Oryctolagus cuniculus: one gene and its partner. The protein of the gene in region 1 binds, or shares a complex with, the protein of each later gene. Links are inferred from orthologs where the notes say so. Each region holds a gene or a part of one and is shown on either strand. Other genes may lie near its edges.

Region 1 (2,654 bases):
AGCTGGGAGGCCGAGTCCTTCAGGCCCTGGCACAGCGCGCGGACGCCGGCTTCCCCAAGGTCATTGTTGCTCAGCGCCAGCTCCTTGAGGCCGGGCTTGGCCCGCAGCACGGAGGCCAGGGCCTCGCAGCTGGCGGCCGACAGCTTGCAGTACTCCAGCCTGGGGGAAGGCCTCGCGCTGGGCGCAGGGCTGCAGCCCCCGGCCCAGCCCGCCCTGCCCCCCCCCGTGCTGACCGCGAGCACCCAGGGCCTCCCCATGCCGGGCTCCGCGCGCAGGGGGCGGCCCAGGAGGGCGGCGGGCGTCACCTCAGCCTCTCCACGCAGCACTGCGCATCCAGCAGTCCCTGGCAGAGCAGCCGCAGGCCCGCGTCCCCCAGGGCGTTGTCGCTGAGCTGCAGCTCCCGCAGGCTGGGCATGGCGCGGAGGGCGCTGGGCAGGACCCCGCAGCCAGCCTCGGTCAGGCAGCAGGTCTGCAGGCTGCAGCGGGCAGGCGGGGCCGTCAGGGCTGCCCCCAGGCTGCGCCCGAGCCGCCCCGGCCCTGCCCCAGGCTGCCCCCAGCCGCCCCGCCCCCGCCCCAGGCTGCGCCCAGCCGCCCCCGCCCCTGCCCCAGGCTGCCCCCAGCCGCCCCCGCCCCAGGCTGTGCCCAGCCGCCCAGCCCCTGCCCCAGGCTGCGCCCAGCCGCCCCCTCTCCCAGGCTGCCCCCAGCCGCCCCCGCCCCAGGCTGCCCCCAGCCGCCCAGCCCCTGCCCCAGGCTGCGCCCAGCCGCCCCCTGCCCCAGGCTGTGCCCAGCCGCCCCCTGCCCCAGGCTGTGCCCGAGCCGCCCGGCCCCTGCCCCAGGCTGCGCCCAGCCGCCCTCCAGCACCTGAGCTTCCGCAGCTGGCAGCCGGGGCTCTGCAGGCCCTGCAGCACCAGGCCCACGCCCGCGTCCCCCAGCTCGTTGAGGTCCAGGCTGAGCTCGGTCAGGGCAGGGTTGGCCTGCAGGGCGGTGCTCACATCCCGGCACCGGGGCTCGGTGAGGCCACAGTCCTCAATCCTGCGGGCGGGGCCCGGTCAGCATGCGTCCAGGGGCTTGGGGGCCCCTACCCCACAGGCACCCCCAAGGGAACGGACACGGGAGAGGCGGAGCCAGCACCACCATCCCCCCACCGGCTCCAAGGAGGGCGGGAGGTCCTGCGGGGCAAACACCTTGGAGATGACCGGTGGCAGCCTCCCGGGGCAGATGGTGTCCCCAGCTGCCACTGTCCCCTCCTGAGCACCCCTGGGAGAGCCCAGGAAGAGAAGCGGGATGAAGTCGCCCGGGGAGGGAGCAGAGGGCCCCCTGGGGACCCTGGGGGAGCAGCCAAGCTCCAAGTGGCAGCGGGCTGAGCTGTGGGCAGTGGGGCGGCCGGGCCGAGAGGCCTTGTTGGGGCAGGCTCCGGCACCGGGCAGGGCCCACACTGTCCTCCCAACTCTTCCAAGTCTAAGATGGCTTCAGATTTGCCAGAGGAAAACCAGGACGGCAGGCACCGGGGCCGCGAGAGCCGCTGCACGGGGACAGGCTGGGTCCCGGGCCCTGACCGCCCCCGGGTCCTCAGCCCTGCCCAAGCCGCCGCGGGATTCTTGTATTTTTAAATGGCTGAAAAACCCCTAAGAGTCACAAGTGACCGGCTGCCAGGGCCGGGGCCGCGGTGAGCCACGTGGGCGCTGGCTCCACTTCCGACCCAGCTCCCTGCTGTGGCCTGGGAAGGCAGAGGAAGATGGCCCAGGCCCTTGGGCCCCTGCACCCCTGTGGGAGACCTGGGTGAAGCTCCTGGCTCCTGGCAGCAGCCTGGCCCAGTCCCGGCCGTTGCGGCCATCTGGGGAGTGAACCAGCGGACGAGGCTCTCGCTCTGTCACGCTGCCTCTCAAATAAATCAATCTTTTAAAATACCCAAACCGAACCAAGACAGACGCTGCCACAGCCCAGGGGCCCAGCCCCCGTGCAGAAGCAGCTGGCCCGTGTGTCCACCAGCTGACCTGACCACTGGGCACTGCTGGATCTGGGGCAGGAGCTCCGTCCACCCGGCGTCGGTCAGCTGCTGGAACTGGATGTCGAGGCTCATGGTGGGGGCCGCAGTGTGGTCCAGGCGGGAAGGAGAGTGCGTACCGGCCCAAGAGCTGCGGAACAGCAGGAGTCCAGATGCCCCTCCCACCACAGAACCCAGGAGGCTGGGGGCCCAGGCACGGCCTCCCTGCACCCAGGGCAGGGGCACAGCAGGTGTGCACCGGGAAGCCTCTGCCTCGAGGGGAAGGGGGGGCTGGGGCGGGGCCCGTGGTGGAGCCCCTCCCTCCCCACACTGCCAGCACCACAGTCCCACGAGGCCAGGACCCTGGACGTCACCCCACAGCGACGGGCACTCACGGGCGGCCACCCAGGTCCCAGCGTCCTGACAGCCTCCAGGCTGGGGCCCTCACCCTGGGCCAGCCCAGACCCAGCCCTAGGAGACGCCAGGCCACCAGCCAGGCGGGAGTGAGCGACAGCGAAGCTGAGCCCAGTCCCGGCCTGGAGACAGGCGGGGAGGGGGAGGGGCGCCCCCGAAGCCATCCGTGTCCCACGAAAGGTCAAGGCAGACCCGCAGCGCAGGAGAGGTTCCTGGTTCCCTGTAACCCTCAGCTTCCCGAAACACTCTCACGCGG
Region 2 (3,748 bases), on another chromosome or scaffold:
ATTTTCTGAGTAAGCGGATCATTTTTTTCTGCTCACTCAACAAAGAAGGATAAAGGAAATTCAAGGTCACAATTTCATAAATTCCTCCTCCCCACCCTGGGCTCAAGCTCTCCTTCCTTCTTCACCAGAGAATTGTAGTATTCAAGTTCTACCCCCTCTATATAAGGCTGCAGCTCCCTTTTACCTAAAACAGCCTACATTCAAGAGTTTTATGTTCAGCATCAAGAAATCTGCAAGGAAAGAAATTTTTCTCAAGTCACTTAAATCCAAGAGTTAGAAAGGAAGGCACCTAATTACTCCAGGTGCCATACAAAAAGCTAATGGAAACAGAACTGAATGGAAAACTCCAGAAATCAGGATGTTGGTTGCAACTAAGTTTTATTGAAAGAAACAGTGATCAGGTTAACATGGGACTCCCCCCACAACACACTCCTGACACCCCACCACCCAAACCATGGAGAAGCAAGTCTCAAAAAGTGTGTGTGTTGGAGAATAGACTTAACTGGAGTTGTTTCCCTTATGGTAAGGAAGGAGGAAGGGAATGGCAGTGTCAAAATGATGGGCTTGGCGATGGGGGGAAGTGCTTCATTCTGCTCTGGCCTTACTCCACAGAAGCGTCAAAGTGGACTGGCACAAATGGGTTCCCCTCACAAGCTAAAATGATGTATCTTTCTTTCTGAACGGTCTGGTACTTGCAGTCAGGGTACTTGGATGTATCTAACAGGGAGCAGTCTGTGGTGTGCATTTTGGAGGTGCTCCGGTAGCAGTTGGTCTTCCCGTCCTTGCAGGTGACCTTCTCCTGGAAGCAGACTGCCTGGATCTTTTTCAGGGGTTCGTGCACAAAGGTGTTCAGTGGCTTGCAGCCCTGTGTCATGTCCTGTTGCTCCATCTTTTTGTTGCAGTAGGTGCTGCTGAGGGGAAGTTTTGGATCTATGTGCTGCCGCTGGAACTTCTTGGCCGGGGACTCGTTGTCCAAAACAGACTGTGCCAATCCCAGCATCAGCAGCCCCAGGACAAGTAGGATGAGGGGTCTGTCCAGAGCCATGGCGATCTCACTTTCCTGGAAGAGTCTGATTGGGAAAGGGAGAGAGAAAGAGAAGCATCCTCTCACAAAGAGAATTCCTCCTGCCACCTGTGGCCTCCGTGGTTTCCAATCTCACTTTCATATCAGGCAGACATCCCTCTTCCTGAGAGTTTGTCCCAGTGAGGAAACACTGGCATGCACCTTTCTCCAAGTGTGTTTTATTGCCACTTGCTAGACAGAGGCCCTCCATCCCTCCAGGTGGGGATCACAAGTGACCTAAAATCCTGGGAGTGTGCCGGCGCCGTGGCTCAACAGGCTAATCCTCCGCCTGCGGCACCAGCACACTGGGTTCTAGTCCTGGTCGGGGCGCCGGATTCTGTCCCAGTTGCCCCTCTTCCAGGCCAGCTCTCTGCTGTGGCCCGGAAAGGCAGTGGAGGATGGCCCAAGTGCTTGGGCCCTGCACCCGCATGGGAGACCAGGAGAAGCACCTGGCTCCTGCCTTCAGATCAGCACAATGCGCCGGCTGCGGCGGCCATTGGAGGGTGAACCAACGGCAAAAGGAAGACCTTTCTCTCTGTCTCTCTCTTTCTCACTGTCCACTCTGCCTGTCAAAAAAAAAAAAAAAATCCTGGGAGTATTGTCTTTGAATACTGGAGTTTCTTTGACCCCAAAATACAGTTGAAAAATAAAATACATGTGTGCCCAATGTGCAAATAGCTCATTAGAAGATCATTTTCAATAAACTGTGAGCCAGACCCTGGAGTTATTACCAGGACCATGTTATTATCCAGAACCTTATCTGAAAGAGCCTCGTTCTTACAACTCCAAGGACACTCAGTCCCGTGCCTGCCACTGGCATCATAAAGGGATTTCACTGTATTTCAGTGAGAGATGCTTTCCTCCTCCAGAGTGGGGAATCCCTCTTCTCCAGCCCCATGAGTATCTTTGCAGCCTGCAAGTTCCATCCCCCAAGCCCCTCCCCCTAGCAGATACAGACCTGACACAAGCTTTGTGGGCACTAGTGTCAGCCCAAACTTTCTGACCTATATGTCAGAGCTAAGCAGGAATTACAGAGAAACCAAACCCCAAATTTAGGAGTGGGAAAAGTGCTGAGTTTTCTGGCTCTCTTCTTCCCAACTCTCAAGTAGAAGCAGCTCCTGGAAGCATCTCTTGGGCTGCTTACCTGATCTCCAGCTCAGTCCCCTGGAGGGAGTGGATGGGCAGTTTCTGCAGTTACTCCGTCCATGGGCTGTGCATTTTATATTAAACTGTGAAGGGGGGTTGGCTTCTAAGAAGAAAAGAGCGGGAAGGTTATCTAGGGCTCAGAACAGGTGAAAACAAGGATGTTGTCAGGAAAGGAGTGGGGAAGCAACCAGGCCACTCCCTTTTCAGGACTTTTGAGAAGAGTGAATCATTGCCTCTAAGAATTTTTCTTACCATGTAAACCTCATCTATATGGTGATTCATAAGGAATGCCTGCATTGGCGCCTAAATCTCACATACACCAAAAAAGCCAGGTACCTCTTTGAGGTCCCTTTTCACCAAAGAGTCCTTGAAAGTTAACAAAGGGGGGGCCAGTGCCATGGTGCTGTAAGTTAATCCTCTGCCTGCAGCGCCAGCATCCCATATGGGCACTGGTTCAAGTCCCAGCTGCTCCTCTTCTGATCCAGCTCTCTGCTATGGCCTGGGAAAGCAGTAGAGGATGGCCCAAGTCCTTAGGCCCCTGCACCTGTGTGGGAGACCTGGAAGAAGCTCCTGGCTCCTGGCTTCACATCGGCTTAGCTCCGGCCATTGCACCGGCCGTTGCACCAGCCGTTGCAGCCATTTGGGAGGTGAACCAGAGGGATGGAAGACCTTTCTCTCTGTCTCTGTCTCTGTCTCTCTCTGTCTCTCTCTCTCTCTCATTGTCTGTAATTCTAACTTTCAAATAAATAAATAAAATCTTAAAAAAAAAAAAAGTTAACAAAGGGCTTGTAAGATGACTATGGGAGAGGGAGAACTTCTCTCCCCAGGGGTCCTGGAAAAACTCTGGTTGGAATTCCACATCTCCCAACAGCACCTGACCTGGGCAGGTAGGGCGGGAATAGGGGATTGTCCTGCTGCCCCCCAGGAAGGCTTCAGGACCTGGAGAAGGAAGGAGGGCTGTATCTGATCAGTAAGGAGAGGAAGTGGCTGCTTCCTCTCACCCTCCACCCCCACGCTGGGGTCTATGATGGTTTTCGTTTAAATATGTAGTGATCACTGATTCTATAAGTCAGAGCTGAGTACAGAAATCAAAAGATAAATCAAACTTCCAAATTTTCAGGTGGGCAAAATACAAAATTGGCTGATTGACAGCTCCAGACTAAGAGTTATCCAAGTATCCCTCTGGGATCTAGATTCAGGCAGCAGAGCCAGTTACAGAATTTAATTTCCCTGTTCTAAAGTTTCTTTGTCTCTAAAGAGGAGACAATAATACATACTTCTTAGATTTGCTGTTAGGCTGAAATAAGGTGCAGAAGGCTCTGAGGAATCGCCTGGCAAAGAGAGAGAATTCATGTGTGTCAGCTCTTGCGATGGTCCACAGGGGATGGGAGATCATTTAAACAACACGAGGGGATCTTTGAACTGCTTTTTGATGAGGATAGAGTCAAGTAATTGCCAAGCTTTTGTTTTTGATAAACACGTGAGCTGAAAAACCACAGGCAGTCTTGAAGTCTTGAGGAGAAAAACTGGCAGAAGTGA

The links. The genes of interacting proteins can lie anywhere in the genome.
Region 2: the proteins of RNH1 (region 1) and RNASE1 are in contact, whole or in part, in a crystal structure (PDB 3TSR), measured with the Mus musculus proteins. The link is inferred for Oryctolagus cuniculus from reciprocal best matches to the Homo sapiens genes RNH1 and RNASE1. Residues at the interface, in NP_001165571.1 of Mus musculus: Cys7, Asp32, Thr60, Asn89, Asp117, Glu145, Tyr146, Asn174, Glu202, Trp257, Trp259, Glu283, Ser285, Trp314, Lys316, Glu340, Glu397, Ser401, Asn402, Gln426, Val428, Tyr430, Asp431, Ile432, Tyr433, Trp434, Thr435, Asn436, Glu437, Arg443; in NP_035401.2 of Mus musculus: Arg26, Glu27, Lys32, Gln36, Pro48, Thr49, Gln53, Lys56, Arg57, Met60, Asn62, Gly63, Ser64, Cys65, Lys66, Pro67, Val68, Asn92, Lys94, Asn96, Leu111, Lys112, Gly113, Asn114, Ser115, Lys116, Asp121, Ala134, Glu136, Val143.

The regions. Positions count from the first base shown.
Region 1 is NC_091432.1:183,085-185,738, forward strand, and holds part of RNH1 (ribonuclease inhibitor), read right to left. Parts: exon of another isoform or gene 2,380-2,654; intron 2,136-2,379; 5' UTR 2,081-2,135; coding exon 1,995-2,080; intron 1,033-1,994; coding exon 862-1,032; intron 477-861; coding exon 306-476; intron 160-305; coding exon 1-159. UniProt on the Homo sapiens protein: Ribonuclease inhibitor which inhibits RNASE1, RNASE2 and angiogenin (ANG). May play a role in redox homeostasis. Required to inhibit the cytotoxic tRNA ribonuclease activity of ANG in the cytoplasm in absence of stress.
Region 2 is NC_091443.1:54,022,372-54,026,119, reverse strand, and holds RNASE1 (ribonuclease pancreatic), read right to left. Parts: upstream 2,313-3,748; 5' UTR 2,208-2,312; intron 1,071-2,207; 5' UTR 1,046-1,070; coding exon 602-1,045; 3' UTR 362-601; downstream 1-361. UniProt on the Homo sapiens protein: Endonuclease that catalyzes the cleavage of RNA on the 3' side of pyrimidine nucleotides. Acts on single-stranded and double-stranded RNA.